2 linked regions of the Lepisosteus oculatus genome follow. The protein of the gene in region 1 interacts with the protein of each later gene in a pairwise test. Links are inferred from orthologs where the notes say so. Each region holds a gene or a part of one and is shown in the gene's direction. Other genes may lie near its edges. The genes, in order: serine/threonine-protein kinase 4 and sav1.

Region 1 (15,809 bases):
CAAACCCGTCTTCTCTAACTGTAGAGAACAGATTTTCAAATGTTTATAATCTTAAGAATTTACTATGGCACACCAAGAAAGAATAGAAAGTTTATAGTAAATAGTAAAACTGATGAAGTTGTGAAACATCCATGAGGAATGAAAATACCTTTCTGTAACAGTAACTCGTAAATGTTCTTAGACTGGACAGAATAGCTTCCTGCAACAAATGCATTTAAATTGTCCCAAGACCACCTTATTTTATCATCCATCCAGCCATACCTTTTGGTAAAAGAAAACATGCAACACTGTCTTTAAGAACATCAGGAACAGAAATGGTTTAGTACAAACCAGCTTTTTAATCATAGATATCCAGCTGAACAGGGAGCCATGCAAGCAGTGGCAGTTTTCAGAGGAGCTGCAACCAGCAGTTGATATCTGCAGTAGAAAACCACACTCCTTAGTTTTAAAGTATTTCTAACCTAATTCTCAAGCTTTCCATAAAGTAATAACAGATCAAGGTTTATCAAGATTTTTTACACCAAAGTTTTCAGGTTTCTTTATTTTCTATGCAAACAAAAAGACTTCATACTGTAGCTGATTACATATGGCTTTCAGTTTTTTTCAAAATAAAGTGCATTATTGCCCTTTTGGTGAAAAGTCCCTGATAAACCAGCCTCATAAACTAACGATTTGAAGCCTATGTACAAGACACTGATTCCTGACTAGAGTGGGAGTCGTACTGCGGCCTCGGACACGTCTCATCCGGGCTGTGGCGGCGATGTGCTCCTGCTGCTGCGTCACTTCGTCTTCTGCACCTCCTGCAGCAGCTTCTGAGCAGCCATGTTGCCTGGCTCGATCTTCAGTAAGGCGCTGAGGTCTCGAGTGCAGGCTTTGTAGTCCTGAAAGAGGGGAGAGAAAGGTCCGTCAGTGTGAAGAAATCACTCTGGAATAGACAAGGGAATTCAACCTTCATGCTTAGGCTTTGCTTTCTGTTACACTGCTTTGGAGTTCTGCTGTACATTCCGAGTGCATTAACTCAGAATTCCAATAAATGTTCTTTTTCTTTGATGTATAGGAATGTTAAAAATACATCAAAGTATTTTTGTGGACTTTACTCTCCTGCGAGAACTGCCTGATTTTTTTGGATCAGCGCACTCTCTTGGAACGTGTCGGCAAGACTAACGAGGTGTTTTCTGAAATTGCTTTTTGGTGATGAAGGTCATGAGGTCGCTGGGATTCTCACTTTCAGCTGCTTGTGGGCCTGAGCTCTTCTGTACAGCGCCTTGATGTTCTTGGAGTCCAGCCGCAGCGCCTCCCCGCAGTCCTGCACGGCCTCCTTGTGCATCTTCAGAGACAGGTAGCACAGCGCCCTGCGCAGAGGAGACAGAGACACGGGTTCAGGCAGACGTGAAGTGGCTCTTATTCCGACTGCCCACCTCGCTGGCGCAGTGCGGACCCCTACCTGTTCGTGTAGGTCGTGGCTTCCCTGGGGTTGAGCTTGAGGCTCTCGGAGTATTTCTCCGCAGCTTTCCTGTGCTCCCCCTTCTTCACCAGCGCGTTGCCCTCCTCCTTCAGCGCCAGTGCCAGCTTCTCGGCCGCGACGCCTGCAGGCAGGACAGCGCATCAGGCAGCGTGCCGGCTCTGCTCCCGAGACCCCACAGGTGCCCTGTGGCACGCCGCTCTCTTCCCGCAAGGACAGGGACTCGGGACCAACACATGGCCGCCAGCCGGAGCAGACAGGCTGAGCGGCCTTTGCATACTGCACACCCCAGCTCCCCTCGTGTCTTTCACAGAGCAGGCTAATACTTCATGGCCTCTCACTTGTGTCTTGACTGAGCACGTCAGTGTGGCGCAGCCGGACCCCGAGTCTCTTACCTGGGCTGCTGACGCCGTTCCGCTGCCCCGGGGGCACAGGGGCAGCGGCCTGCGCCAGACTCTCGCGCACCGACAGGGGGACGGCAGGGATCGGGGGCAGCTTCTCTCTCCAGCTGGGACCATCCTGCTCCTGAAGCACCTTTGTCATTCTGTGCCAAAGAGCAAGAGGACAAAGCTGAACAGACGCATCTGTGCATCCGGTCCGGAACAAGCCCTGTGGATCCGGGGACAGGCGCCTGCAGCGTGGCCCCCGTGCTGGAGTACCTGTTGGTGCCGTCGTGCGCCGCGGGGATGCTGCAGTCCACCTGCAGGACGGTCTTGTAGTCCACGTAGGCGAGCCGGTACCTCTCCAGCGCCTCATAGGCGGCCGCGCGTCTCAGCAGCGGCTTGATGGCGAAGGGGACCAGGCTGAGAGAGCTGGAGGCCGGGAGAGGGGAGAGTGAGGGGCTGGGCGGCAGGCAGCTGGCTGTGTGTGTGTGTGTGTGTGTGTGTGTGTGTGTGACTGTGAGACGGGAGGCACAGTCGCAGGTGTGCTCACGTGGTGCAGTCCTTCACACACTGTGTGTGTGTGTGTGTGTGTGTGTGTGTGTGAGTGAGAGTGTGTGTGTGAGTGAGAGTGTGTGTTGAAGAGTGAGACGGGAGGCACGGTCGCAGGTGTGCTCACGTGGTGCAGTCCTTCACACACTCTGTGCAGTTCCCATCCTTCAGGTAGCTGGCGGCTCTGTTGGAGTACAGGATGCTGAGCTCCTCTGTGCTGCTCTGGCCTGCAGCACAAACAGCAAGTTCACCGCAGTGCAGAGCACCCTACCCCCCAGGAGCCACAGCCTCCCTGGCTGCAGGCCACTGGAGACGAGCCGCCTGCAGCAGTCTGACCCACTGAGACCAGCTGGGCTGCCAGCAGCACGTGTCTGGGGCTGTACATACATACTAAACCTATAGTCATAACAGAAACTACTACATCTCACAGGAACCCCAGAAACAGGTCTTACAGGTAACTGTTAAATTTCTAAAGACCTGGGGCAACTGAACTCTGGTTTATCTGAGCTCAGTTAAACAGGACGGGTGGTCAATTAGGTAATAGATACCAATCGCAACAAAAATCAGAATATCCTTTAGCCCCAAGGATCAGTGTTTCCTTCTCGGAAACGCTGCCGGCCCAATAGGTGCTCCTGATTTTTGAATAGGGGGCGATTTGTCCTGGCCTGTAAGAGTAACTGAACTGGGGCTCCGGCTCTGTATTATGAGAGTGGGACAAGACTTAACTAGGTCAGCAGCTCATCTTGTGCTAACGACATCGAGCGCTTTCGTGCAGATTTAAAGCTGTGACATCGGGTCATATTCCCGGTGTCATTTAGCTCCGGACCCTCGTTTTCACGCCGGGAAATGATCGGGCGGCCCTGTTACCGGCAGGGAGACAGCCTTTGCACTTCTAGAAACCTCCATCTAGGCCAGAGGAGCAGTTAATGGTCCCGGAAAGACTCCCCGCAAGTCCAGCGCCACGGGCGCAGAGACGGGCCGCCGATTCAAACCTGTGGCGCGACGGGACCCTCACCTGACCTCTCCTGGAGCTGGATGGCCCGGGAGTAGAGGGAGGCCGCCTCGCCGTACTGCCCGCTCCTGAAGCAGTCGTTGCCGGCTTGTTTCAGCTGCGCTACGGACGGCGAGGAGCGCCTCTTCTGGGGCATGGCGTCCAAACCGAGCCGGGTCGCCTGCGCCGCTGCAACACAGCGCCCGGTTACGTCAGTGCCGCGCCGGCTCGGACGGGCAGTAAAGCCAAAGAAGGACAAAGAGGAAGCCTTACCAGAAACAGCCTGCTAATGTCGAGCCGGGACGAGCCGCTTGTTTGAGGCTCTGTGCGTGCTGCTCTGCGGGATGAGGGGTCAGCGGGTCGGCCTGTCTTCCCTGGTGGGCAAAACGGGCAACTCCAGACGGACCCGAGATAGCGCACAATATCTGCCCTCAGCTCTGCAGCACAGCCCGGCCACGCTGCTGCCCTGCTCCGTGTGCTGACACCCCGGCACAGCTGGCCTGCTTTCTGCCGGTGTAATATTTCAGTTTCGTTTCTTCCGTAGTTTGGAGATCTGGCCAAGTTTCCCACTACACGCACAGCGTGAGCAACCGGCTCTCTTCCGCCACACCGTGGCCTCTTAAAAAATGAAGTTGATCAATGATGCCCCTTCCTAAAAGCATCAAGTATTTTACGGATTATTTCGTAAATCTGTTTTGTAAACGGAAAAAAATCTAAACTGCAATTACTGGATGCACAGTCCAAGCATTTAGCATTGGATATACTTTCTAATGTTATAAATTACTCAATAAGACCGCTCCGAGTTACAGTTCCATATTAAAATTCCAATTATAAACTCATGCTGTGCTACTGCGTCCTGACTCCTCTTTGAATGCCGGAAAATAATCTCATGTGCATTTTTAGCACATTCAAAATTAGGGCAGAACGAGCTGACGATGAATCGTAAACGCGCAGACTCCTGTATCCCTAGGTGTAAAATAAACATGCTGACTGCCCGGCGCTGGTGCTGTTTGTGCCTCTTCAGCCACCGTACTCAAGCGCTTGTGGGTGCGGTTTGTCCCTCGCTGGGCTCCGTAGCTTCATCCAGTCTTCTTCGTGTTCGGTGAAGGTCGTGTCTTCGTCAGGTGAGTTCAGAATTAAAACGTTTGGTTAAATTATTTATAAAATTATGCAATTTATAAAGACTCAAGCCCTTAAATGTAAACTGAGCTGATTTTCATGTCGTTAATCCTGTTTTTGCCTTTCTGGTTTTACGGAAGGAGCCCGGTAGGTCACCGTAACATCCGTAAAAACCGGTAGAATAATGATAATGTAATCTCGGAACATGGGTTTAATGAAATACGAAAGCATGCCTATTGAAAATACCGTCTAATGTTTTCTTCTTAAACTAATGAAAGATTATTTACACGCAGTTATGTCGAAATCTAGGCTTTTTCATTGCCTTCTTCCTGAAGTGAAAACGACTTGCTTCCTTCTGTGATATAAATACAAACGGAGTTTCGTCATAAAACACTCGGGTTCCTTGAAAGATTTTTACCTTCTTACTGAAGCTGCTTTTCTCCACAAACACAGAAATGCGTAGTTTTAAATGCGCGAAAGTGACTGTATCCCTGAAGTGTCCGTGTGAAATGACGCTTGCTGCAAGTGGTTCGGAAGTCAAAAAAGAAAGGAGATTTAGCGAGACCCGAAAAGTAATAACTTTTTAGTATCTGAGTTCATAAACCAATGAGAAGTTTTATGAAGTTCAGAAAGAGATGCAGGTAAAACTCAGAATATTAGTGTAGCAGTGAACTGTGCTAATGTGTCCAGTTCTGCCCAGCAGGCCACCCTGTGGCTCGTCTCTCCAGGTCGGAGGTGATCTAGAGAGGGCAGGGCCCTGGGGCATCTGAACACTGGGCCCCAGCTGCGAAAGTCTCTAAAGCCTCACTGATTTCATGAGAAAATACCGGTGTGCAACAGAGTACGGAATAAATCTGTTTATAGTGGATACGAGTGGTTAGAGAACGAGGGAGGTTCTTGCAGTTTCACATTTCGTGTAGCTCTTATTCTTGACAACATGAGCTGTGAAAGGAGCCAGTTGCTAATCGACTGAGCGCTCCGTGTGTGTGATGACATGTTGTGCCAGTGATGGTCTGTGATTGCCAGATATCCCACAATGCCGGCCGGAGCCCTGCCCAAGCCCGTCATGCGCGGCCTCCTCGCCAGGCGCCTGCGGTTCCACCTGCCCATCGCCTTCATCTTGGCCCTGTCCACCGCCGCAGTCTTCAAGGTGAGAGCGGGGCGGCCTGCCTGCCCTGCTGTGGGATTCGGGGCCCTGGCCCCTCGAGGACCTGGGCCTGCTCGACTTGCATGTGCTCAGTTGTTGAAATCTGTAGCACGGGAGACAAGGTTATTCTCTTAAGTATTTGTGGCCTGTCCTGCCTATACAGCAACGGCGTCAAAGGAAGGAATTCAATGTCGGTAGCGAATGAGCTCTTCTTTTTATTAGCCTGGGCCTTGGATTGTGTCTCTAATAAGGCCTGAAGTGATGTTCTTGGCTGCAGTAAAGAACACGAATTACAAGTGAGAAGAGGCCACTCATCCCATCAATCTCAATTGGGCATGTATAGCTCATTAATAGAAAGGTCTGGTCATTCCTGCATAGATTCAGGGTTATTGAACAGCAATATGACTGGTCAGCTCGTCCAGACTCCCACATCCCTTTGTGTGTGAGAGTGAGCCCTGTTCTCAGTTTTCCAATCCATTTCCCTACAGTTTCCACCGTTAGATTTCCAGTTAGATTAGTGTATACATGCGGTCACCAAGTTATAAAACCTTTGCTGCAGTCAGTCCAGAGAAGTAGAGATGCAGTTACAGGCTAGAAAAATGTTCTGCTCTGATAAGGTAAAGGAACTAAATCTTAGTCCCAAACAGTGGACTGAAGGAGATATTCAAAGTCTTCAAAGATGGGACCTCTTCAGAATCAACAGCAAAACAAACCAGGGCAAAGGATATTAATTCAAAACGGAGAACATGACACTTTGTCAGAGGCCCTGGGACTAATGAGAACAAAATGAACTAGGTGTCTTCCCCATTTTGCAAACTTTGTTTTTGTGCTTTTGATTCAATGCTGTTGATTTAAACCCAGACAGAGTGTGTAGGGTGTAGCCAAGAAATCACACCTGAATTATGAGGACTGTTGTTTTTCTTTCCTTTTGTGGATGTATACATGATACATGACTGATTCTCCTTAAAGTGACAAGTTTCTCTCTCGACAGTTCACAGTAGCAGATCCCAGGAAACGGGCGTATGCAGATTTCTATAAGCGATATGACGCTATGAAGGAGTTCGAGGCGATGAGGGAAGCTGGTGTGTTTGAGAGCGTCAGGCCTTCAGGCAAATAAGCAGAAGTGAGTTTCTACTGTGATTGTTCTTGCTGCAGCAGTCTGATGCCCTACCTTGCTGTCACAGAGTGTGGTCTCGTTGCTGGAGTGGTATGCTTCTTGGCAATGTGAGTTATTGCACAAGGTCCTAGCAGTTAGGAAGATGTGCTTGTGGCACCAGAGCTGTGACTGGACCTGGTCAGTGTGGCCCATTAACCACTTCCTGCTCCTCTTCCAGGTCAAGCCTGCTGTCCCCTCTGGGTCAGAATTCCCTGCACCTTGGCGATCCTGTGATGATTCGTTGATGTCGACTGTACTGTCACCTCTGAGCTCGGGTTCTGTGTGTGCCCTTACACAATATAATAAACTGTTTCTTTAAACACAGTTGTGAGGTTTGGGATTTTGTTCTACATTTTACTTTGGACATATGCAACATCAGACTGACTCCACTTCAGGCATATTTACACAGACATTAATCTCATTAATTTATCTGATCGAACCAGAAATTGAATGTTCCCAGTAAAGTCACGTCCTCTTATCCATAATGGAGCTGTTAACAGCCAGTCTCATTAAAGGAGGATGGAGATCTGACTGCAACAGCAGTGCTGTTCCCATCGATAGCATTAGAGCCGTTTCTAAGGTCCACTGACTGAAGGCTGCAGAATACCCCTTCTCCCAGGAGTGAGATTATCTTTGTCGGTGCCCTTTTTTGGCATCTTTAGCACAGACTGGATCACAAGAACAAGAAAACAGAGGGTGTGTTGGAGGCCTGTCTGGAGCCACACGAGAGTCTGCTGGTCCCTGAGGCTACCGACACGCAGAATGGAAACCCCTCTGTGGTTTTACTGTTTAACTCTGCGGGTGTTGGTCCCAGTAGTTAGTTGGGCTGTATGGAAGGACTCTGTAGGACCAGGAGAACTTGTTTCTGAACTTGTTTCTTGTGGTACATCATGACTTGGGTTCCAACTTGCTACGGAGTTCTGCTGGCACTGATAATGTACAATTAAGATTAAGAGACTTGAAATGATTGGCTGAAGTAAGAGATGCTTTTCAGTAGTGCAGTCTGTGTATTGTTTTGTTTGGGCAAAGCCTGACAAATACATTGTATAACGTTTTCTGCAAAATAATTCAAGACAGTGCACTTCTCTGTGATACTAAGTACAGCTGTAACCTTGTAAGGTACGAGCTGGCAAGCAGAGCATCTTGCTTTCAGCAACAGAATCTTTAGTCAAGTCATTTAAGATTCTTCCACACCTCGTGGCTTCGCGGTATTACTGGCGACCATCCGCTAATGGGCGCGCTGCACACGAGTCAGGTGTTGCAGCCCTCAGCCCCGGGACCAGCGCCCCCTACCCGCCCCACTGCGGCGGTGCGGCTGTGTCCTGTCCCCAGACGGCCCGCCCCACGCCTGCCGAGCACCCGTGGGCAGGTTTCCTGTCTCAGCTGTCAGGCAGGCGGAAGGACGGAGAAAGAAAGAGTTCAGACTCGGGCGAGAAACTGCAGGGGAACTGAGCGAGCAAGTGAGTGGGAGACGGGGGACGTCGAGCCAGCCGGTGACACAAGCCGAGAGCGGAGCTGCAGCTGGGAGATGGAGCTTAAAAGCGCTTAAAAGCAGCTGTCGGGGGCTTTATTGTGTGTTTTTTTTGCAGCCGGGGCTGGAGGGAAGCGCCGCGCGGCTTGCGAGACAATAGCGAGCCGCCGCGAGGGAAGCCGGTGCCCCGAGCCTCGCGCGCCGCCTGACGGGCTCGGCTCATCCGCGCTCCGTGTGCGCGGCGGGTGAAGCAGCACGAGGGCGGAAGGAGCGCAGAGCCCGGCCACCATGGAGACGGTGCAGCTCCGGCAGCACCCGCGCAGGTAGGCGCTCACACCCGTAGGGGGGCACAGGCCCTGTCGGGGCAAAGCTGCCCAGTATCGGGCTGCCCACCGCGCCCGTTCCTGCCTGAAAGGATGGCCAGGTGCTTGCTTTTCTAGAAATGGGAACTCCCGCTGCGCCGGGACTCTCCATGGGGAAACGGACGATGTTGGCCTTTTCGTTAGTTCAACGGCGATGGGCATTTAAAAGAGCGATTAACTCGTGTTGTTGCTGGATTTAGACGAAAAGTCTTGTTTCAGAACAGCCGAAGGCATCTTTGCCTCCCCTGTCTGGAAGTGCGTTAGTCACAGCAGCTGCGCTTGTGTCTCGGCAGAAATACGGAAACTGACATCCGCAGCAGCTGGAGTCTTCTTCTGGTTTGTGTACCTTATAGGACCGGTCTGTCACCGAGTGTGATGGAGCGGGTTGAAGTGTAAACTCGTGTGTGAAAACTGTGCGGTTTCAGTCCGAGGTCCGCGCAGGAGACGTGACTGAATTTGACTGTTGTTAGCGGTATGAGGGCATGTGTTGTCCCCAACACGGAAGCGCAACAAACTTTTTTTAAAGCAGGAAATGCAGTGAGCTGTCAGAAGTAAACCAGATGAAGCCTCGAGTCTCGCTGGAAGGCAGTTCAGCTAGTCTCTAACCCTGGTCCTAGACAGCCATCACCTTCTATAATCTGCACCGGTCCCGTTTTTATCAGTTCAACCAGTGAATTGTTAAATGAATTCAGAAATGATTGGAAACAAAAATCAAAATACCAATCAGCATCCAAAGATGCTGCCAGATTCCTATACCCTTTGCTGAGCACGTTACTTGCTTAATTGATCAATGATCTGTGTGTATTCCTTTAAAAGAAGTGAGATTTAAGGTGGCCTGTAAGACGTATATTAGACATGTACTATGTTGTACTGTATAGTAGTTGATTCCAAAAACTGAGTGATCAAAAGTTGAAAGAAAACTTGTTCTATTGCGGAAACTCTCTTAATTTTGTCCTTCAAGGTAAAATTGACAGAATACAGATTGGACTGGGGTCTCTAGAACCAGGGTTGGAGAGCCCTGCTGTAAGACAGTCTAGAGACCCACCTGTTTGTAACAGAAATCATGCACAAGCACACTGGCTCCATCTGGCTCAATCTCAAATAACACAAAGCCCCATCAGCCTGGACTCTTTCAGTATCAATACTACATAAACAGTTTTGATGGGAGCAAAGCTGTGCGCTCTGTGCTCACAAGCTGTAGCCCTGCAGGTCTTTGGCTCCCCACTGTATGGTACGTGACCTGGGTGTTTCTGTTTTAATGGCCGGCATCGTGTCAGGAGTCAGCAGGAGTGTTCTGGGAACACTGGCACGGTGACAAGCAGCCAGGGTTCCTCTGCACTGACTGTACCTGAAGATTGTCCCCCAGATTCTGGTTGTGCCCTTTAGCCTGGGACACAGGCAGTCGAGGGATGTCGCAGTAGCCTGGTGTTAGAATTGCAGAAGTAGTCCTTCTGCTGTGAAAATGTATCGCTGTACACGTTCTTCCCGTTCGTGTGCCTGCTGTAAATTAACCGTTTGTGCGCTGTCAGACTTCAAATTTAAATGGAGAAAAAGGGAATGTTATTTTTTGCTGTTTCTGTTGCATGGAGCTACAGAACATGTCTGTCTTTGTGTCCGGATCTTAGAGAGGGGTCAGGAATGCTTTAAAGGAGTTTTCTGCTGTTCTGTCTTTAAAAGTTGGGGTATGTCTTTCCATCATTTTGTATAACAGAAAAATGGCTGTAGGAATGAGTAACAGAGTAAATTGAGTAAGAAATGGACGACCATGATGGCTTAGACAGTACAGATTACCAGTAATCTCACTCAAGATGTTGATGTGCAGACCAGCTCTGCGTGTTACGCTGTTGTGAAATTGAACCGGCCGCAGATTTGAGAGAAATGTTTCTGAAACTCCTGGTTTAAACCAGGGCAGGAATTTTTTGTAGCTTCCTCTTTAATGTGAAGGGCTTTTGACTTATGCCAGAGTTTCTCTGCTCTCCTGGGTGGTTGAGACACGTCGGTCTCGAGGTTGGAGTCGTTGTGCTTGAAGAGGAAATTAGGAAATGATGTGGGATGCCTTTTGCTTAGTGGGGTGTCCGGTGTGTTTAGGAACCAATCGGTTTCTCTTAAGTTCTGCTTCAGGGAAAGACAAACTCAAGGCCCCCCAGTCCGATCTGTTGCGATCTGGTGGCACAAGCCTCTCTTTGTGTGTTTGCATGGTTCTTAGTATGTTGATTACAGAAGGAAAGGAGCTCTGGCTGTGCTGAAGAGCTGCCCGGGAATCTTTTGCAGAGACTTCAGTTGGTTAAAGATGCTCAGACCACCAGGTGCCTTATGTTGCTGCCGATCTGTGAAAAGCACTGTGTATAGGTCATCCCCTAATTTCCGAAAGGTCACCTTGGATAAATCGTGCTAAGTGGAGTAATTGGGAGACCTCTGCTCTGTTTGGCCCACTGGCAGATTAAGGGTTATGGAAGTGGAGACTGAAAGCAGGCCCCTTGCCATCACCAGCACTGGGAAATGCTCGCTGTCTGCCTCTGCTCTGGCGAGGGTGCCGAGAGCTGCTGGCTCCTGTGGGCGGCGGGGAGCGCGGCTGGCTGTCCCGGGCCAGTCCCTGCTTGCACTCCTGCACTGGAATGCTCCGCACGCGCCGACGGGCTCCGGCTCCCGGACGCTCTCCCCCTCGTCTCTCCCCCCCCCCCACCTCAGCTCTCTGCATGCTGCAGCAAGGCTGTCAGAGCTGAGTCAGCCTCTGGGGTTCGACAGGGAGATCAAAGATAGGAAGTGATCAAAATACATAAAGGGGATTTTAAAAAGTGTAAAAAGTATATAACCGGGGGTTTTTAAATGCTGTTGAATACCTGAAAGAGAAAATGCTATAAACCACTTCAAAATGTTTGTTTTCTCTGAGACAGACATTGAGGTGCTTGGGGTCCTCTAGCTCCTTGGGGGGAGACCGCAGCGCAGTGCTGTCCTGTGCTCCCACCCCTCCCCAGGCGTCATACCCCGGAAAGACAAGCGGCTGTCGGAGTCCCACCAGTCTGCAGGACAGGACAGGAGTTTAGCCCTTTCCCGCAGGAGACGGCCTTGTCTTCTCCCCTCATCTTCTGCCTTATCGGTGACACAGGGGTGTGGTCTGCGCCAGGGGCTGGGCCCCTCCACGCATTGTGCAATGAGGATGAGCCTGTCTTATCAGCCCTGCCCACTCTGTGCTGTGGCAGGGATCCTGGGGGCAGCCGTTGGCCTTGTGCTATCAGGGCCCTCCAGCCCCAGCAGAAGCGTCAGCTTCCTCGATTGCCATGAAGGCTTTCCATTGAGATTGCCTCGCAGCTTTCCGAGAACAGTGCCTGGGGAGTTCTCAGGCAGCGGTGCTCTGTACAGAGTGTAGAGCCTTGAATGTGTCTGTTGAATGCTCTGCTGTGCCTCAGAAAGTTTCACAGACCTGGGGAAGTTACTGCCCTGGGTAATCACAGACAGGGGATAAAGCTGCTTTGGGCTGTTCTGAAATGAGACTTTCCATTTAAATCCAGCAACAAGAAGAGTTAACTCACTCGCTCTTTTAAATGCCCATCACCGGTGAACTAACCGTTCGTCTGTTCCCCCCCCCCCCTGGAGATTTCCAGTTCTGCGAAAGACACAAAAAAGGAGTTCAATGAATTCTAGTCCTGGGGTCCCTAAATGCAGTCATCTAGGTTCTCCAATCCAGTAGATTTTGTAAATCCCTTTATGTCATCAGCACCCTAAAACACGAGGAGTGACAAAATGAAATGAGTGTGGCAGCTGAAGGTCTGAAGGGAATGGTTTCTCATTTTCTCTTGAAATTCTTAACAGGCTGCCTCCAGTATATTTGTAAGAGTACAGTTTACAGTCGCATGATAGCTGCTGGAGATCTAGTCGCACTGTAGCGGGCGACACTGTAATCTGCCTGTGTGTTGGCACGCAAGGAGAGAGGGCATGAACAGAACAGAGCAAACCTGGTTTCTTGAGATGCTAAGATGGTGCCACCCAGCTGAAGGCCTGCAGTAGAGTAGTCAAATAATTACACTCATCTCAGATCGCTGTTGTTGATCTTCCAAACTCATTGATTGGCAGCTGCATTGCTGTATTCGGTCAGCTCTGTTTGCTTAATATTAAGCTTTGTAACCCCTTTGAGTTGGTAGGACGAGCATATGTTTAAACGCAACACAGCTTGAAATGCTGTAAAGATAACTGATCACTTTGAAGGAAACTTTGTCATCAAAAGCAGAAGCAACCCAACAATTGAGACAAAGCAAATGCAGGTGGAAAAGAGCTGTGCACCATAGCAGATGAATAGAAAGATTTCAAAGGACTACGTGTGAGGGAAGCCCATGGGGGGAAAAAGACAAATGGTCCTTTTAATCACTACTTAAAAAAGAGATTACTATAATCCTCACATAAACTATGAAACCTTGAAAACTGAAAAGGTGGGACCTTCTCTCACACCAGCAATGCCAGAGCCCATTGCTCTTCCCTGTCTTTTTTGTACCTTGTGCTGTATTGCTTTTGTGTCACTACATACTGTAGTAGAGATTATTGTACATTATTGTATCTTCTTGAGTTCTGCTGCATTAACCAGTATTCTGTATAAATGTCTCTGCATGATGTATTTTTAGCATATTGTCTTTTCATTGTTTGTTCATTGTACTGTATGTTGCCTTGGGCCTGGCATCAGCTAAATGATTTTGTTTTGTATATGCCAGTTATATTTAATGCTATTAGTTTGTGTGTAAGCTGTGGGGATTCCTGAAAAAAGGCACCCCCACAGCTCTCTGACTCTTTCCTCTGCAGGCAGTTCAAGAGGCTGAGTGAAGACAGTTTAACCAAACAGCCAGAGGAAGTGTTTGACATCCTGGAGAAGCTGGGAGAGGGGTAAGCACCATGTGGCTGTTTACTGGTATCCAGCCCTGTTACCCCTTTTCACACAAGATCTCCACCCCCTTGGCATAAAGGGTGGCCTTCTGCTGAGTGTCTGTGTCAGGCCCTGCAGACTGTGCGAGACTGAGGTTCTGAGTGCAGTTTTCTTTGATTCTTTTTCTGGTGCGACCACAGGTGAGAGAAAGCAGTTGTAAGGCAGAGCAGTCCAGCCTATAGAGTGTAGTTTATTTAGCATTCTAAGTTTTCCACACTGGGTGCCTCTTCCAACTGTGACCAATCTGTCGTTAATTCTGCTGATGAAACCTGGTTTAGGAAACTAAGGTATTTTTCTACAATGTGTATTTGTATTTTTTTTTTTATAAATGCACATCATCCAATCTCTGTTTTCCACATCTCTGATTTCCACTGCCCAGACGGCCTCTTGCTCACTGCCTGTCTGCAAACTGGGCCTCTGCAATGTACAGGGAGTGTTGAGGTCTACTCTGTGCTGTACTGAGGGTTCAGGCTCCACTGCAGTGTATTCAGTGTGGAGGCCACCTGCTGCCTGTGCAGTGGAAGTTGCCTCACTCTGCTCTTTAGAGTCATCTATTTCTGTACACTGAGAGAGGAGGGGCCCCAGGCAGTAGGCCTGCCACACGCCATCTCTTCCGCTCAGGTTCAGCAGTGCTGTGTCCTTCCTGTTTCTTAACATGCTCTCGGCTTCCGGCACCGTGCTGCCTGCAGACGGCATCTCCCCTGCGAGTCGGAAACGCCCACCTCACGCCACTCTGGCTGCGCGCCAGCTGTCACTTTACAAGAAACAAGACAAAGAAAGAGAAGGTTGAGGACCTGCTGTTCTAGGGAAATGCGGTTCATTCCTCATTAAAGGAGATTTGTGACCTACTTAGAAATGAGTGAAAGATCTTAGTCTCTTCAATGTCTACAGAGATGATTCAGATTAAAGGCGTTTTTAAAAGTTTTTAAAAGACTCCTTGCCAGTGTGTAAAAAATATTTGTATTGTGTATGAAGTGGCTGTGAGGTGGGAGTTCCTGTGAGCTGCAGAGCACAGTGGAGCAGACACATGAATCCATGGGGAAACCAGCAGAGATTCTCACTTATTCTAGGACAGATAATGGAATTAACCCTACATGTCCCATCTTCACTTGTAGAAATAGCTGAGTGATTAAAAAAAAAACCCTCACTGGTGTCAGCTGCACCACAGGAAAATAGGTCCAAGGAAGAATGGGAAATTAAAGCACAGTGAGATGCTGCTTATGAAAAACATTCCAGAAAGAAGCCTTTAAATAATGGAAGTAGATGCCTTTCTGAGCAAAGCAGGGTTCTGACTGTCTGACTTCCCCTCTCTCTCCTGTTGGCCAGGTCCTATGGCAGCGTGTTCAAAGCTAACTATAAAGAAACCGGGGAGATTGTGGCAATCAAGCAGGTTCCTGTGGAGTCAGACCTTCAGGAAATCATTAAGGAGATCTCTATAATGCAGCAGTGCAACAGGTAAGTAATGTCTAGTTTCCCCCCAAAGCACAGCAAGCACATTCAGCAGTTGCATTCTAATCACAAGGTCGATTTTGTTTTTGTGGCTTTTTGTAACTCAGTTGCTGAAAACGTGTTATTAATTGTTGTGGTTATTATTAGCACAAAAGTACCATTTCACCTTTTTTTTGTCCATCACCACCCAGTGTCTCCTACAGTGGTATGTGGAGGATTGTAAGGGGGTTTGTGAATTTATACCAGAATATGTTTTTCCTTTCACCTGTTTTCATTCTCTTTTTTTAGATACAAAATTCTAAAATTTCTTTAGATAGATATGATGTGATTGTTTTTCTTGTCTAAATGGCAATGTCTTGGCAACAGTGCAAAGTCACTGTCTGTGGGATTATGACTGAATGCCTGTAAATCAGAATTCATTCCCCTAAAAGGAAGTCTCTTGTATTTGCAGTCCACATGTGGTGAGATACTATGGAAGTTACTTCAAGAACAGCGATCTGTGGATCGTGATGGAGTACTGTGGGGCTGGTTCTGTCTCAGACATCATTCGTCTGAGAAATAAGACGGTTAGTTGCTTTATTTTGCTTTATTCCTTTAATACCTTCCGATGAAAATGAGTTATGACCCCAGCCCTGTGCTGAATGTGAATATAAAAACTACCCTTTTCTCATGCGTGCCCTCTATCTTGTCCTTCTCTCAGTTAACGGAAGATGAGATTGCCACCATCCTGCAGTCCACTCTGAAGGGGCTGGAGTACCTGCACTTCATGAGGAAGATCCACAGAGACATCAAGGCTGGAAACATCCTGCTG
Region 2 (16,200 bases), on another chromosome or scaffold:
AGTAGAGTTTGTTAGCATTCCATACTGTATCTGCTATTTACTGCTTTCAGTGATAAGGCAGAAACATCAGTCCTAGAATAATAATTTCAGACAATGTGTATAAAATACAGTATTTTATACACAGTCAATAAGAACAAACAGGAGATCCTGTTCTTATATATTTACTATGTGTAACCAACCCACCATCAAAATCACCTAGATTTGTGGACTCGCCTTAAAAGGTATTGGGATGTACTGTAAGTGTTGATAATAGCTGCTATTTCACAGTCACTTTAAATTGAGGATTTATGGTTATTGCTGCCAGAGCTGATTTGACCAGAGTAACTCAGTTGTAAGGGGTTGAAAGAGAGAGGTGAAGAGGAACTGATACCTATAGTCAGTCTGAATCTCTTCCTCAGCTCTGTTTCTAACTTGAATCCAATGCCTGCAGTTCCTGATTAGCTGTATCCAGCATCTTTCTCCAAATAGTCATCTTCTTGTTTGAAAGAATTCCTGTTTCAAAACCTATTCCTCTAAAGCCAAATTAAGTTTCCAGATAGCCTGATACCTTATAAAGATTTATTGAAATATTTGCAAACATTCTTTTTAACAGTTGCATAACTCTGAAAGACCTCAATACTTTTTTGCAATGGCAATGCTTCAGCAATTTTTTTGACATACCTCTTGAATTCAGTATCTACAGTGAAAAGTCATGCTGAAGAAATACTGATGAAGTACGCACTTTGATAAGGTCTTCATCTAGCTGTAATAAAAACAGCTATTGGCATTCCTCACTGTTAAGGATGATTGTAATCCATGATCGTTTTTATCTGTGCTTCTCCAGATGACGCCGGGCTCTGTTGACATTTAGGGGTTCGCCTGCTGTTTGTGCGATTCATGCCTATCCACCTCCTGTTGTCATCATAAGGCTGAGATCATGGCAGCAGACGTCCTCCAGCTCAGGTGGTCATGGGCAGTAGTCTCCCATGAGTTGGTGTTAGTGTTGCTCTTCTTCATGTTGGCCTTGAAGACATCTTTTAAAATGCTTTTTCTCTCCTCCTCTTGAGCATGTGCCATGACTGACCAAAAAAGAGGAGGTTTGTTTGGGGAGTAAGGAGACAATGTGGCCGGCTCGGTGAAGCTAATGTTGGATAACCACCACCTCTTGCTTGTTGAGTTTGTAAGAGAACAGGAGCGTTAGTTCATCTGTCATCTGTTTTTAAAGATTTTCACCAGGCTGTGTTGATGATACTTCCTCAACATTTTAACGTGTCTTCTGAACATCTGAGATCCATGGAGTATGGTAGTGATCATGACTGTTTCATACACAATTAGCTTGGTTTCGGATCTGGTATTGCGATCTTCACATGCGTTTCAAGAGGAAAGTCTCCAGCGTCTCCCTATTGATCTGTCAGTTGGTTACGTGGATGTAAGAATGATCTGGGAACAGTTTTCCTGGTGAAGTGAGTTTTGCTGCTGAGTAAAGAACAGAAGGAGGGAATGTTATATAGTATTATATTTAGATGGCTGTCAGTTGGCCATTTAAAGTGAAGCTGAAAACAAATTGAATGAAGGGTGTATTGTTGCTAACTGAAGTAATTGGTATTATTGTAGTCGCACTACATGTCGCACAGAAAAGGTGCACTGCAGCCTTTAGGCCTTTATTTTCATATTTATTTGTTGAGTAAACTATTGCATAAAATTATTGAAGAATTTTTTTTAAAAATGTACTATATCCAAGTGCTTCTGTACATGTAAGGCTATATGAAACCTACTGAGAATGGGACCACATGAAAAGAGAAAGAGAAAAGTATAGCACCTCCTGTTTCACCTGCAGTACATTAAAATATTTCTGTGCATGTACTGTAGGGTGGTTGAGTTTCCTTTCCTTGAACAGAGGACCACATGTGACACCAGCGTCGGGGCTTGGAATTGAATATGGCGAAAATCTGGTTACTGTCTAGACTCTAGAGAGTCGGCAAACTCCAGATAAACGACAGATAGTTTGCAAAGGCCTCTCATATGAGGACTTTGTCTTTAGCTAAAGAAAATCTGCAAGAGCTCATTTTCACTTGTTGCAAGTAACAGTTCTAAGTATTTCGAATGACTATTTTTAAATTGTTCAGTAGTTTTACGAGTTACTCTGTAGTTAATATTTTACTACAAAACACAATGAACAGAACGCAGAATGCAAGATTCAAAATCCGTCCGAAATATTGTATTTAAAATACCATGCAATGTTTACCTAGAGCTCCGTGAAGTTGCCCCCCCTGCAAACCCACCTCGTTCGTTAGTGCTACGTTTGTGCCGGTTTGTGCAGTTGAAAGCAGTGTTTGTGCTGCTTTTTCCCCCCGATATATAGAACCTTTTTTTGAGGGGGGTTGTGGCATCTCTCAGCCCCCTACAACGTCGCAGGGAAACCGGACTGGTCTCAATCGGTGTTGCGTTCGTGCCTTCGGGTAATCACTTGACTATCTACAAGGAAGTTTACAGGTACCAACAAACTCGGTACTTTGTTCCTGATTGTGATGAAAACAATTGGGGCAACAAAACACAAAATATGTTTTCCGAGTCTGTCTGGTCGGCTGGGGTGGATGTTTCAATATATTTCAATATAGCGCCTTCTTTTCCAGGCTGTGACGTCACTCTGTGACGTACAAAATAGCAAAGTCACGACTACCAGATCTTTCAGTTGTGATCTTTTGATCAGTTGACCCCAGACTTTGCAGCCTTTACACGAATAAACAGTTTTACATTTAGGGAGGAGTTACTATGTTAGTTCATTGGGTTCTCGAAAATGTATTGCTTGCGTACTCCTTTCATTGGTGAAGAGACACTAATTTCCAAATTACCGCTGGTACAACACGAGAGCCCATATTTACATTTTTGGGTATTAGTTTCAAGATCGATATAATTTAACAATAAAAAACAAAATTGAAAGCACGAGCATAATAATATTATTATCATATACTTTACATTTCTATTCATTTTTGAAGTACAAAGCGGAAGGTGTTTCCCCTACCTTAAATATACGATTAAAATTGTTCAAACACCATGTATCCATTACAGAAAGCAGCGGAGACATTTATATTGCAAATAAAAATGTATTTATTTCGAAGAGTACGGGACATTGTGAATCAATAAAGACGTTAAAAAAGCCGATAAGTAAAGCATTTTAAAAATAGATTCTCATTGACAGTAAACAAGCCGATCCACCCGGCGCTGCTAGCTTGAACAGCTCTCAGACCCGTGATTGGCTAAACCCCCGAACAGCTCGGGCTCCGATTGGGAGTGAGAGTGAGAATCGACACTCTGATTGGGTAAAGCGCCACAGCGGAAGTTCTGTGTGTTCTCTGTGTGCTGTATGAGCACGCTTGATATACAGTAACACATCCACTGGTTTCCAATTACTGATCAAACTAAGAGAAGTCGCACTGAGGTCAAAACTGAATAGCAGACAAAGAATGTCATGGCATCCACAGCGCGTTCACGACTCCGATAGCATGTCACGATAGGAGTGCGCGCACCACAGTCACATCGCAATACCCCTTGCGACTGGTGGATCAATATCAAGGCGCTGTCAAGGCGCCACTGTTGCGACATTAAGTCCATTTATCGCAATATGACATACACCGAGAAAACGCCTCGGCCCCATGTCGCGACATGAAGCCCGCATATTGCGATATGACATAACCCGGCAAAAGTGCCCCCCCCCCCCATGTCGCGACATGAAGCCCGCATATCGCGATATGACATGCCCAGCCAAAACGCCCACCCACCATGTCGCGACATGGAGTCCGCATATCGCGATATGACATGCCCCGGCAAAAGTGCCCCACCCCCATGTCGCGACATGAAGCCCATATATCGCGATATGACATGCCTAGCCAAAACGCCCACCCACCATGTCGCGACATGGAGTCCGCATATCGCGATATGACATGTCCCGGCAAAAGTGCCCCGCCCCCATGTCGCGACATGAAGCCCATATATCGCGATATGACATGCCCAGCCAAAATGCCCACCCACCATGTCGCGACATGGAGTCCATATATTGCGATATGACAAAAAATTACCACGCCCATGTCGTGACATGAAGCGAGTATATCGCGATATGACATACCCCAACAAAATGTCCCGCTCCCATATCACGACATGGAATCTATATTGTAACGCAACGGGGGCTCAGGCGGGCGCCCTTGCCTCATCTGGTCGGCCCCATCCCGACTGGAGGCTCGAACCCGGGACTTCCGCGTCTCTCTGCAGCGACCTAGCCCCGTGAGCTAAAGAGAAATCTCTCCACAGCCTGCTATCACAGGGAAGGGCGGTGACGTCACCCGCTCTGGTACGCCGGCTCTTACACACAGTGCTTGTCGGCCGTAAGCGTTACAATATGTTGCTATAGGACATACCCTGACAGGATATGCTGACCCCATGTTGTGACACAAAGTCCATATATCTCGGGATGTAGTATCTGGCTATATCATGTCCTGATATGGTCCAGGGTGGCATGGAAGCAAGGCGCCAGTCGTGATATACACTGCCGCGATTTACATGCGATATACATAGGGTCCCTATCATGACATGCTGCGGAAATCTTGTCACTATGGTATCCCACAGTTACGCGTTTGGCAACAGCGTGTCACGGTAGGGAAAGAAAGGAAAACGTGCCATAGAAAATAAAAACCATAGATCTAACAATCACGGTGATTTTACATACATTACAACCATAGGTTTATGTCATAGATGGTTAACTTGTTGGCATGTGTCATGTCTTAGTATTATTCATATCTAATGAGGCTCATATGTTTATGGATATTGGTTGTCTATAAAATGTTAAGGGTACGAGCTAAACTGTAACAGCGCTTGAACTCGGCAGACGGGATCACTGGAGGTCAAAGTCACCGTGCATGGTCACATGATCCCCGGAAAAACAAGGCGTTGTATCTCGGGAACGAAAACAGCACAGACGCTACTTTTAATGGCACAAACTGGCAGAAACGTAGCACTAACGAATGAGGTGGGTTTCATCGTTTGTGCTGTCTGTAGGGGGCGAACTTCACGGAGCTTTTACCGTGCCTTTAAATATTCAGTGGACTTGAGCACGACCCGTGGCTACGCCTCTGCTTTAATGTCTAAGAGGCCTGGTAGCAAAACTGGATTCATGCTGTTCCTCTGGCGGGGTTTGTCTTGTCCCGCTGAAGGAAATGTGCAGTTCAGAGCGTGATCTTTAGGGAAAACAAGAATTTGAGTCCCCATCTGTCATCCCTGCATCCTCTGTGCTCAGAGGCAAGTGCGCTCGTCTCGTTATCTGGATGTTGGCGGGTGGTGGGGAGGAAGGGGTGTAGCACAGCAGAGGGGAGGGTCTCTGTTCCCAAGCCCAAAACAATGTGCCGTGTGTCCCCTGAGTCCTTCCGCGACGGCGGTTTATCTCTGCTCTGTGTGCTCACTTCACTCAGACGTTTTGAACAGACCCGTATCAACAGCTGTTGATCTGTGTGGATCGATTCAACCTCTAGTAGCAATGTCGTACAGTTCACATAGAAACTCAAGCTTCAAGGTGCAATGGCTTGCTTTTCACCTTGTATTTGAATGCAGTATTGCTTGAAGAGGAACTGCAATGCTATTATTATGTTTAGAAAAAGTCGGCGTGGATGAGTGCATTTGTACAATGTACACAGTAACTTGTAAAAACCTCCAATTTCCAACACAAAGTAAATTAGATTTCCAGGATTGCACAGGGTCAATCCTGCAATTCAGAACAAGGCAAAAACTTCTGCTAATGTGAAGCGGTCTTATTACATTCTAAAAAAGCAGGCTTGTGAATACCTAATACATGAAAAATATTGCTCTCAACTCCGAGTCAGTTTTGCCTACGAATACTACTTACAGTACTTGTTAACTCTGCACAGAGGCCACACTGGAACATTTCTACTGTAAAATGTGTGCTGCACAACCTGTTCTTATTCACTTATACATCACACTACATTAGTCACTACAGTGACTAGCGAGCAGGAAGGGGCTGCTTCACATCACAATTCACAAGAACTCTCACTCCCGGCGGCAGCGAGACCAGCGGTTTGCGACAACAAGGTGAGCATACAGTACGTTTCTGGAATTTGTGATTAATTTGGAATTTGTCAAATTTTGCAATACCATCAATTAATTAATTTTGTTACCGGGATTTAATAAATGGTCTGAGAAATTGGGACTGCAGTTCTCCTTTAAAACAAGCTCTGGACAGCATTTATATATAATCTATGAAAAAGACAAAGATATTGGCTATTCCAAGCAAGTTAGATGAATACAGTATAATTGGGAAAATCCTAGACATGTCACAGAATGTTTTATGGATGCTGATTCAACCACTAGAGCAAATCATTAGTTCATGTTGATTTGGCGGGATGCTAAAAAGCAAAACTAAACCAATCCAAACAAAGCAAAATCAATCCACCTTCTAAATGGCTCATTTTAACTGCATAAAAGAGTCAGGTCCAGAGACAGGTAACTATTGGAAAAAGAAAAAATTACAAATGTGACTCCATGTTATTGTCCTATGTAAATAAGCCCTGCAGGTAATTAAAAGATTACTTATGATGACATTGTAAAAAGTTCTAACTTTGTGTTTTGATCATTTAGTTTACTTCACCAAATATGATGAGTGCATGCTGTGAATAGGTCAAGCTCACACATCGGAACAAATACTTAGATATACTCTATAAACTGGGGGAAGTTCATTGTATATTCAACTAAGGGCCAAAATGATTTATTTAATAAAAGAGAGGAATGTAGTACCCCATTTAAGAATCCAGTTGTGAAATTTGGATCTCATGCAAGACTGATTCATCTCTATGGTCACAGAGACAACATTTAAAACAGGATTTACCATGAATCCACAACTTAATGCTATGAGTCATTGGAAAGAAAAGAATGTTCAAAATTAACAAGCTTTTCTTTTGCCACACAACATATAATCAAACCAGATGTTCCATCTCAATGTCTGGATACAGAGCACATCTGGATAATATATAACAGAATTAGTACTAGCTTGCCAAAAATAAAATAAAATATAACTAATGTACAGTGTATTTATGTTAATGTAAAAGACTTAGTAGCTATACATATTTTGCAACAAGTCTTCATAAATTCATCATCTGAAAAAGTGGAATTTGTTTCAGCTTGGAATGAAGTCTGATTTTCCCTGGCTCTTGAAATGTAGGCATGCTACACTCTGGGCAGAGTTGCTACAGTTATGCACATTTATTATGTGTATTTTCATCATCAGCTACCACCCAAACCCACGTACACTGAGATGGCAAGTACCATTCATAAAATACAGTGGGCTCAAAACAATATTGTGAGGTAAGCCATGAGAAAAGAGTTTCTACCAGTTTTAAAAATTAAATCTATCAGACACACTGAAATATAAAAAAGGGATCATATGCATCAGGCATTGGTTGACTGTATAAAGTTTGCTACAGAAAATAATATGTTCAATAGCACCCCAGATCTTGGACACATTTCTGAAAAATACCTTGATAAATTCTTCCCTGCTTGTGTCACTGGCAAATATTTTAATCTAAAAAACAAAGAAGAATAAAAAATAGAAACACATACTTTGCCATTGATATTGGTATAATTTATGAGCATACAACATACCAGGAAATAACTGGAAGCTAGCACATATTGTGGGATCACTTGCATATTCTAAATACCTTCACCACTCCTTTTCCAGATACTATATGTCAAAATCAGCTTAATTCTTTAGCCTTAATAAATCCTACCATTTCATGTATTGAAATCACACCAGCCTGGGGTAAAAATCACCTGAAAAAGCAATGTATTATCAAGGACTGTAGCACTGTATGGTGGAAGCACTGTCACTAATTGATGCTTCAACAGCAATATCATAATTATATTGCACTAAGAAACAGAGTATTCATCAGAAGCACTTTATTTTTTATTGGTAGGTATTGATTCCTATCATATTGGTCACATGTGATCACCTGTTTTTATTGATCCACTGTGGAATGAAGTCCCCAACTCCAAGACTCTAAGAATTACACAGTTGCTACCAATTTTGAATCATCCTTCCAAAAGCTGGCTCTTTTAATACTGTTTAGTTGGGCTCCATGGGCAAAGGTCTAAGATGATAGAACCATAGAACACTATATTTAAAAGTATATATCCACCCACTTTTTAACTGCTTCTTCCAGTTCAGGGTTTCATGGGAGCTGGAATCTGTCTCAGCAAGCAGCAGGCACAAGGCAGGGTAAACACTTATATATACAGGAACAGGTAACGAGCTTATTCCATGCTGAAAAGAAAGGAAACACAACATTTCGGATGTGTGTCACCTGAAGAAGGCTCCACAGCTGAAACATTGCGTTTTCTGTTACTTATATATTTATCTTTACAGAAATCTATTGATTTCAGAGGAATAACACTAATTCCAACTGAAGTGGTAATGGAAAAAATTAATTTCCACTATGAAAGTTATAAAATGTGCTGCCATAAACACCCAATCGTTGAACAAGGAATGATGTGTGCCATTTCATCTTTTGATTTGAACTGCGTTTCTGATCTGACAATAATTTGTAGGTAAACCACAGTTTTTCACTGTGGAAGTGGCTATCCTAAGAATTATTAATATTCCGAAAGCACTGTTGTCTTTTTTACTTTATATGTGCCAAAGGACCTCCACAAGGTTCCCAATAGCAGGCTTAGCAAACCGAGTTTTGGGTACCTGTAAGAAACCAATTAGCTGTCAAGTAACGGTTGCAAATTCTCAACGAATTATTAATCAAGAAATAGTTTTAAATCAGAGGGAGCATCAGCTATGTCCTGCACGGTTCCAGCAACTCTTGACTCCGTGCTGTGGAGTTTCCATAGGAACCAGCTCCACCAGCCTCACAACGCCTCAGAGCTCAGGCAGTCCCATCACCTTAACCACAGAGCTCAGGCGAATGCGTCACCTATCCCAGAACCCTTTGCGTGTTGGAAAAAAAAACCCCTGAGAAGCAGGGAAGTTTATATGTTGAGTGGAGAGGAGTGGGAATAGGATAGGAGCAACAGGCTGAGGGGAAACCAAGTAAAAGTGGTTTTCGGGGGCAAATTATGAATATTAACTGAAATGCAACGCGATATGTTTTTTCTGGTTTGAAAAAAAACTGTTTTTTTTTTCCTCGCGGGCTCAAACTTCTCATAAGCCCGTTTAGTCTGCCGATTTGTTTTGGCACTAACAAATGGATTTACGTCGAAGCCCAGGCTGCCTCTGCCCCGAGTGAAAAATGAAAATGCCTCTTCCTCTGCTCCAGCTCCTGTGCCGCGGTCTTCTCGATTTCCTGAGGCGCACCGAAGTTGTTTCGTCGCATTGATGTCTCCCTCGCAGTTCGAGTTATGCTTTCCCGAAAGAAAAGTAAAAACGAAGCGTCGAAACCAGCCGAGGTACACGGAAAATACGTAAAAAAGGAGACGTCCCCCCTCTTGAGAAGTAAGTTGAGCTTCAAAATGGGGGGAGAATTAAATTCTCTCGTTTTCCTGCAGTCCTCAGATGCAAGTGTTTACATTGCTAAAAAAGTTATCTAACTTGCATATACCAATATGCACTGCTTATGTTATTCTTAATTCGAAATGTCCCTGCTCTTTCTACGAGTCTAACGTCTAATGTATTGAACAGCATTAGCGTTGTGCATTCCCGATGTTATAAAAGATGGGATGGGAGTGGTTGCGTTTGGATGCGAGAGCCACAGTTCACGGTTTAAAAAAAACACAAGGTCCTCACTGTGCCCTGCCGAAACTATTCAAACCCCGTCACAGTTGGCTATTTTCTCATTCACTTTATACATTCCTTTAATTTGAAGATGTGGGTACAGTGCTGCGAATAGAAACTTTTTTAACGTATTTCAGTTTATCAGATATTTTTCTCCCTTGCTAACTGCTGCCAGGATTAAAATCTTCAGATTTATTTTATTTGCTGCAATTCACAAGTCGTTAAGGGTAACTCCCCTCCCACCCCCATCTCCATTTAATTGGTCACTTTTTAGGATTTGTGGGAAAAAAATGCATTGACTTTTTTTTTTTAAATAGGCTATTCGTTTTGTTTTAAAATAATGATTTAAGGTGTCATTTTTGTTTGTATGCTTAGGGTCAGTGTTAAAGATCAAGGCTTGCTTACACTTCAGCTCCACTCTCAGGTTACATGATCTTGCTTAGTGGGTAGAACCAGCTGGGAGATGAAAGCTGTGAACATTCTTCGAGTTTTCTTTTAATGTTGTAGCATATCAAAGTCACTTTTACTCTAATGACTGTGAAGGCTACAAACACTTCACACACAGTGAGAAGCAGCATGTTACAATTTTTTACCTAGAACAACCTTTTTCCTGCATTTCAGTAAATTACCAATAACTTTTCTTTCTTACACATTGCACAGAGCAATCTAAGAATATGAAAAGGTGAGCTCACATAGCCTATTAGTCTAAAATGTCTCAATGTGTTTCTTACCTAGAGATCAGTAAAAGTTTTGACTTCCTGTAGCAGATATCTGTATTCAATGGACTGACTGAGTTCTTCTTAGAACATTTTTTATTGTTATCGAACTGTCCGTTAGCATGTTGGTGCTTCACATGTGTATTTTTTAATTACCTTCTTGGTGTTTTTGTTAAAAGTGTAAAAATGAATATTTGAAGTACATACTCAATAATAACCCTTATTATAATAATCATAAGTGGCTCTCACAAGACATGTAATGTGTCATTTCCTCAGATGTCAGATTATGTTAATGCTAGTTTCTTTACAGTCTCCCTTTAATATCTGTGAAATTATTTTTTTTTTACATTAGCTGAATGCTTTCTTTAAAAAACTACATTCGGCTTACTGAACAAGAGGAATAGTCAGGCTTAAAAAAGAAACTGTTTTCCTGGAAATTCCGCTATATTTATGTAACTGGTTTGTTGAGCCAGTGGCAGGTGATTTGTTTTGCAAAATATGCACTGTTGGCGAAAGATGAGCAAAACAATTTGACTAGGAAATTGCTTTACTCGACCAGCTGGAATTCTTACTTTGTTTGTTTGGTGTATTTTTATAAGGGCCATCATAAGTGTTTTGAGTCTGGTACTAGAGGCGGGGAAGTAAATGCATTAAATGTACAATTTGGAACTGTCCCATCGCTGATTACCATGTGTTACAGTCTTGTATGATCTGGTGTTTTAGCAAAAGTGGAACACAAAACAAGACTTGGTTGAGCTCAGTTGTTCTTCAGAAATGCGGTTTTACATCGGTGTTTGAATAAATTGTATTTTAAGAAGCATGTGTTTTTTAGAAACGCTCTCTGATGGAGACTAAAAAATAACCGGCCGGCTTTATTACCAGCTCCGAGTATGCCCTGGTTTGTGAAGTCGCTGCTGTGAGATATTGTCTCAGGGAGTTGTCCCTGTGTGTTTGTGCTTTCTCTTCGAGTCAGCTGAGCGAGTCCGGTACTGCACTTGCTTCTGAAAGAAAACCATAGGAACTGAACTGTTTGACGATCAAGCAAAAGGCCTGATGGCACTTCGTGTAGTCCAGTTTGCGGTCATGCGGTTTGTTGCCATTGACCAGCGGGGTCCCTCTCCTCTTCACTCCTCCAGATTTGATGCCCTCATTTATAAGACATGGGCCTACCATTCCCAGACGCGCCGAGATCCCTCTGCCGGAGCAGGGTCCCGCAGGGTATCCCGTGGGGCCGGGCGAGCCAGTGGTCTCCCGGAACAAGAGCTTCCTGCGCGGGCCGGTGCAGAGGCCGCCCCACGAGATTGCCAGGCGCGAGAGCAACCGCCTGTCGGCGCCGCCCTACCTTCCCCGCAGCCTGGGAGACCTTCCGCGGGAGTACGGCGGGTCCTCGCAGTCCTTCCTCACCGAGGCCACCCCGATGGCAGAGAATGGCGACGCCGGTGGCGCTGCCCGCTATTTCTATTCTCCTGACCCCTATTACGATGGCCAGCGGCGGCGACACGTGCCAGACCGGTTTCACGAGGACTATAGATACTATGAACACAATAGCGACCACTTCCAAAGAGTACTGCCACCCTCGCAGCCCCAAGGCAGACATGCTGGTGAGTTCAATAGCGTTCCCTCTTTCCTGTTCTGTCCTTGGCTCCGAGACATGGTCACTGGTTTAGCTGTCAGTGTCGCTTGTTGTGTATAATCCATAAAGCCACAGAGGTGTAACAGCATGGTCTTGTGTTGCACTTAATGCATGTTTTTACATTGTTTCCTTTTTCAGTGTGAAGAATATGGGTTGAATTTGGCAAATCAAGGCCAGAAATGGTTTGCTCACGTGAGGAGAAAGTTGGTTCTCACTGTGGCTGTTGGGAGTCAAGACTGTTACTAGTCAAGGCTAGATCTCAATCCAGCCACAATTTATGTTCTTAATTCTGCAAATACTTTAGATGCACTCAAAAATGTAAAAAAGTAGCACTAAATCTCATTTTAGATTGTTTTATCAGGCATTCAGTGTCTAGAAACTTAAGTTCCAATAGACATGGAATGTTGTCGTATTAGTATTATTTTCAATTTTATGTATAGCACACTGTATACAGTATATGTACAATTATTAAAGTATAGGTTTTACTTCCTACCTGGTTTTAGAAAGGTGGAGCTGACTTTTAAAAATTGACAGCTTCTTATTGTAAATATTAATTTACATAGTAATACAAATTAGATCTGTGTTTCAAAAATACATTTAGGTTGGATACTGTGCTTACAGGAGTGTATACACTGAGATGTGTAAATACCCAGCAATATCCCTTAGACAGATACGAAAAGCATAGTGGTTATGCTGACTAATTCAAACTTGTACAAATAATGGAATAATAGCCATGTCTCTTATAAGCCAAGTGTAGATCTATTCAGTAAGGGTGCACTGTATCACATCTTTTTATCGACACAGTTTTCAGCTGTGATGCACTTGAACTTTGTTTTTGAAACTTAACTCTACACATGTAATTTGGTTCTCCAGAACACTGAGACATTCAATTTACTGTAAGAGAAGGGGATGATATAGGCGGCTTTGAAGGCTGTTGGAATGCTGGTTATTCCAGCCATGAAGACTGTGGTTTTCTTCTGCCACTCTAGTGGGGGCTTTCTTATCCTTTTAGTTTCCATTTTTTAAGCCGAGATGTATTTTGATACATAATGAACCAGCTTTGGCCTGCAGCAGTCCTGGAGCTGTTTTTTTTTATTTTTAAATTACAATATAATGCAGAAAATGTAAGCCTTGTGTGCTGTTTGTTTGTTTCTTGGTCTTCTTTATGCCTTATTACCTGTCTAGACTTCTATTTAATCTTTGTACACAGGTTGAGTGTAACCTCTGATAATCTCACAATGTCCGTTGTGTTCCAAGTATCAGATTTTTATTACAGTAATTACCACTTAGTGGCAGGTAGTATTGCTTACATTCCTAACAATACAAGATGTTGTACACAATGGTGCCGCCTTTCCTGTATTTCTAGAGTGTTTACTGGGAGTTTACAACAATATTTAAATACAGGTTATTTCTAAGATGGTGATGGAAGGCGGTGTTACCATTTTTATAAACTTGCATGTTTATTTTAACAAGACTCATCATGACTCTAGACTGGAGTATCCCACTTTAAACTCCCTTTGAGTCTCACAATATAATTAGCTTAAACAGTCCAGTGTCTGAAGACTTTGAAACCGATTTCTCTGATGTTCAGTTTACTTGAAGTTACTGTATTCAGTCATCCAACAGAAATTCAAGTAAGTTTTTGATACATTATGAAGTGTTACTGAAAAGAAGAGCAAGAGTTTCCATTTCATGAGCTGTTTGATGTGTTTGAACTATTAGATTACTTTTCTCAGGAAATTTACAACTTGTCTTATAATTTTGAGCCTTGGATTAGCTCTAAGCAAGTAGATGATAAATTGATGAAGCCCACATTAATCACAAATTATCCTCAGGAATCATCGTTGGCCTTGTTGTGAGGAAATAAATATTTTTCTAATTCCTTAATGTTCATGTATCAACTGGGAAGGCCAAAAATGTCAAGCAGTGACTATGTATTATACCCTAAAATTAATATCCATTAATTAATTCTTACGATTACTGCATACAAAGAAAGGGGATATTGTGACAAACTAAGAATTTACATAGAGCTAAATAGCAGTGACAGTTTTGTTGGTGAATATCACAAAGTATTCACATTTTCCCTAAAAACATGTAGACCTAGGCGTATATTTTTCTTTCCTTAACTAAAAAATTAAGAATGTGTTTTAATGTGTTATAAAATTAAGAATTAAAGTTGAGAACGTTGTGAGAATAACCTGCAAGTATATTATTACCTTCCGAGTAACAGTTTATGAATGGATTAGTAGAAATGATTGATTAAAGCAGATGTAGGTGGGGATGGGGAATACTTTAGGAATACATTGGGATTAAAGGGTGTGCTTTGCTGTGTGCAGTGTTACCTTTGACCACAGTTCTGCTGAATTTCGTTGTCCTCTTTTCATGTTGTGGCCGGCACTAAGTTTTGAAGGAGTTTCTGCAAGTATTCAGACTTTGAACTAGATTTATATAAGCGATTTTCTGTAACACTTCAATAACATCTATATGGCGACAGTGAACTTGTTTTTACTTTATTGTAGTCATCTGGTTTGGAAATATCACTATTTAGGAAGAAGACCAATAAAGCTATTAGAACAAATGTTATATGTTCTCAAGAAGCTCCTCTTTTATCCCAGAGATTTTCATTTTTTGCTCCTTATTCTTTATTATAGAGAGACTCCTTTTGAAAACATCTCCTTAGAAGGTTGTGAAACTTTATACAATAGATAGAATCTTTTCCTGTTATTGAAAAATGCTGGATTTCAGTACTATCATAAATGTAATCCATTCATTACTGCTTCAGCATTGTAATCATCTGCAGCTATAGAATTAGTTTAGTATAAATTTGTATAATCTTAATGAGTCACTTAAGATTATGAAATGCCTTTAACAAATTCTCCCCCTTTATATTTAATGCACAAAATTAATGTTGAGGAGGACACTTTTCAGTGGATCTGTCTAACATTTCAGGTGTTTATCAGCTGGAGCCGGGAGTTTTCATTCAGATGCAGAATTTATCAGTCTGGTGCTGCCAATGTGTTGGAAGATTGTGGTTTAAGATGTGATGCCAGTGATTCTGGAAAACTCATCAAGGCTGTGAAATATCCATGTATCTTATGTAATTTATTGAACGTTTATGTAGATCAGCCTTTGCTAATCTAGCATGGCCATAGGGTAAATCACAACATGCCTTCCTTGTAACACAATGAAGACAGGAACTGCAGAGGGAAAAATGCTAAATGTGACCTATTGCTCGCTATTAATGTTTGGTTTATGGTTTAGGGCAATTCAGTTCAGCCTTGTGCTCCACCCAGAAAGGTTTATTTACAGCTAAAAACTATTTTGAAATTTTGCCAAAATTATTATCTTTTGAAACAAAAAAAAAACATTTGGGCTAATATGGGTTAGCTAATTTTGAAATTGCCCCTCTTTCATATTCAGTTTGATGGTTTCTCTCAGCATGTTGGAATTTGTGTTCCAAATTAGGGGATAATAAAATTGAGAGAGAGCAGTAAATTGTAGTCAGTTTTTTAAGTAAACCAATGTCCAGAACATAACATATTAAGGAGATACTGAATCTCCTCTGAAGTTGTGGGAAAACAGTTCTTTTAAACTATAAATGTTTATATAATTTCCAGCAGCTGATGCAAATCATTTGAATTCCTGGTTACACTTGGCAGTTTATGCAGCATAATTCCGCTCATATATTTTGATGCAAAACAAAGCTGAAACATCAGTCGTTTACATTTATCATTTTGAAGGGCTTGAGTCTTTCAGAATGAGAGTGGGGTGAGAATCTAGATTCATCTTCTCAGCAATTGACACACTGAGGTTACGAGCAGAAAAAAATGTATGAGTGCATCACATCATTTCAAAACATAGTGTATAAGGATGAAATCGGCTCAACACAACTAATTCTAATGAATAAGTAATAGGTTTATTCCATGCTGGGGAAAAAAAGGTGTGTGTTCACACACCTGAAGAAGGCTCCACGGCCAAAACGTTGTTTTCTTTCTTTTTTTTCAGGGTGGAATAAACCTATTACTTGTTCCTTTGCAGCTGACGCAGCTACCCACCTAATTCTAATGAATGTCCAGTTGGTTTTAATGGCCACTTCTACT

The links.
Region 2: the proteins of serine/threonine-protein kinase 4 (region 1) and sav1 interact in binary tests that used the Homo sapiens proteins (3 or more experiments, as listed by UniProt). The link is inferred for Lepisosteus oculatus from reciprocal best matches to the Homo sapiens genes STK4 and SAV1.

Annotation. Positions count from the first base shown.
Region 1 is NC_090711.1:425,275-441,083, reverse strand, and holds the start of serine/threonine-protein kinase 4, read left to right. Parts: upstream 1-8,123; 5' UTR 8,124-8,267; intron 8,268-8,396; 5' UTR 8,397-8,566; coding exon 8,567-8,601; intron 8,602-13,428; coding exon 13,429-13,509; intron 13,510-14,875; coding exon 14,876-15,004; intron 15,005-15,449; coding exon 15,450-15,564; intron 15,565-15,698; coding exon 15,699-15,809. Other genes in the region: tomm34 (mitochondrial import receptor subunit TOM34), read right to left, coding at 780-881, 1,226-1,352, 1,445-1,586, 1,858-2,006, 2,122-2,274, 2,522-2,621, 3,410-3,542; cox6c (cytochrome c oxidase subunit 6C), read left to right, coding at 5,541-5,654, 6,643-6,768. UniProt on the Homo sapiens protein: Stress-activated, pro-apoptotic kinase which, following caspase-cleavage, enters the nucleus and induces chromatin condensation followed by internucleosomal DNA fragmentation.
Region 2 is NC_090703.1:13,043,201-13,059,400, reverse strand, and holds the start of sav1 (protein salvador homolog 1), read left to right. Parts: upstream 1-8,963; 5' UTR 8,964-9,378; coding exon 9,379-9,472; intron 9,473-11,603; coding exon 11,604-12,068; intron 12,069-16,200. UniProt on the Homo sapiens protein: Regulator of STK3/MST2 and STK4/MST1 in the Hippo signaling pathway which plays a pivotal role in organ size control and tumor suppression by restricting proliferation and promoting apoptosis.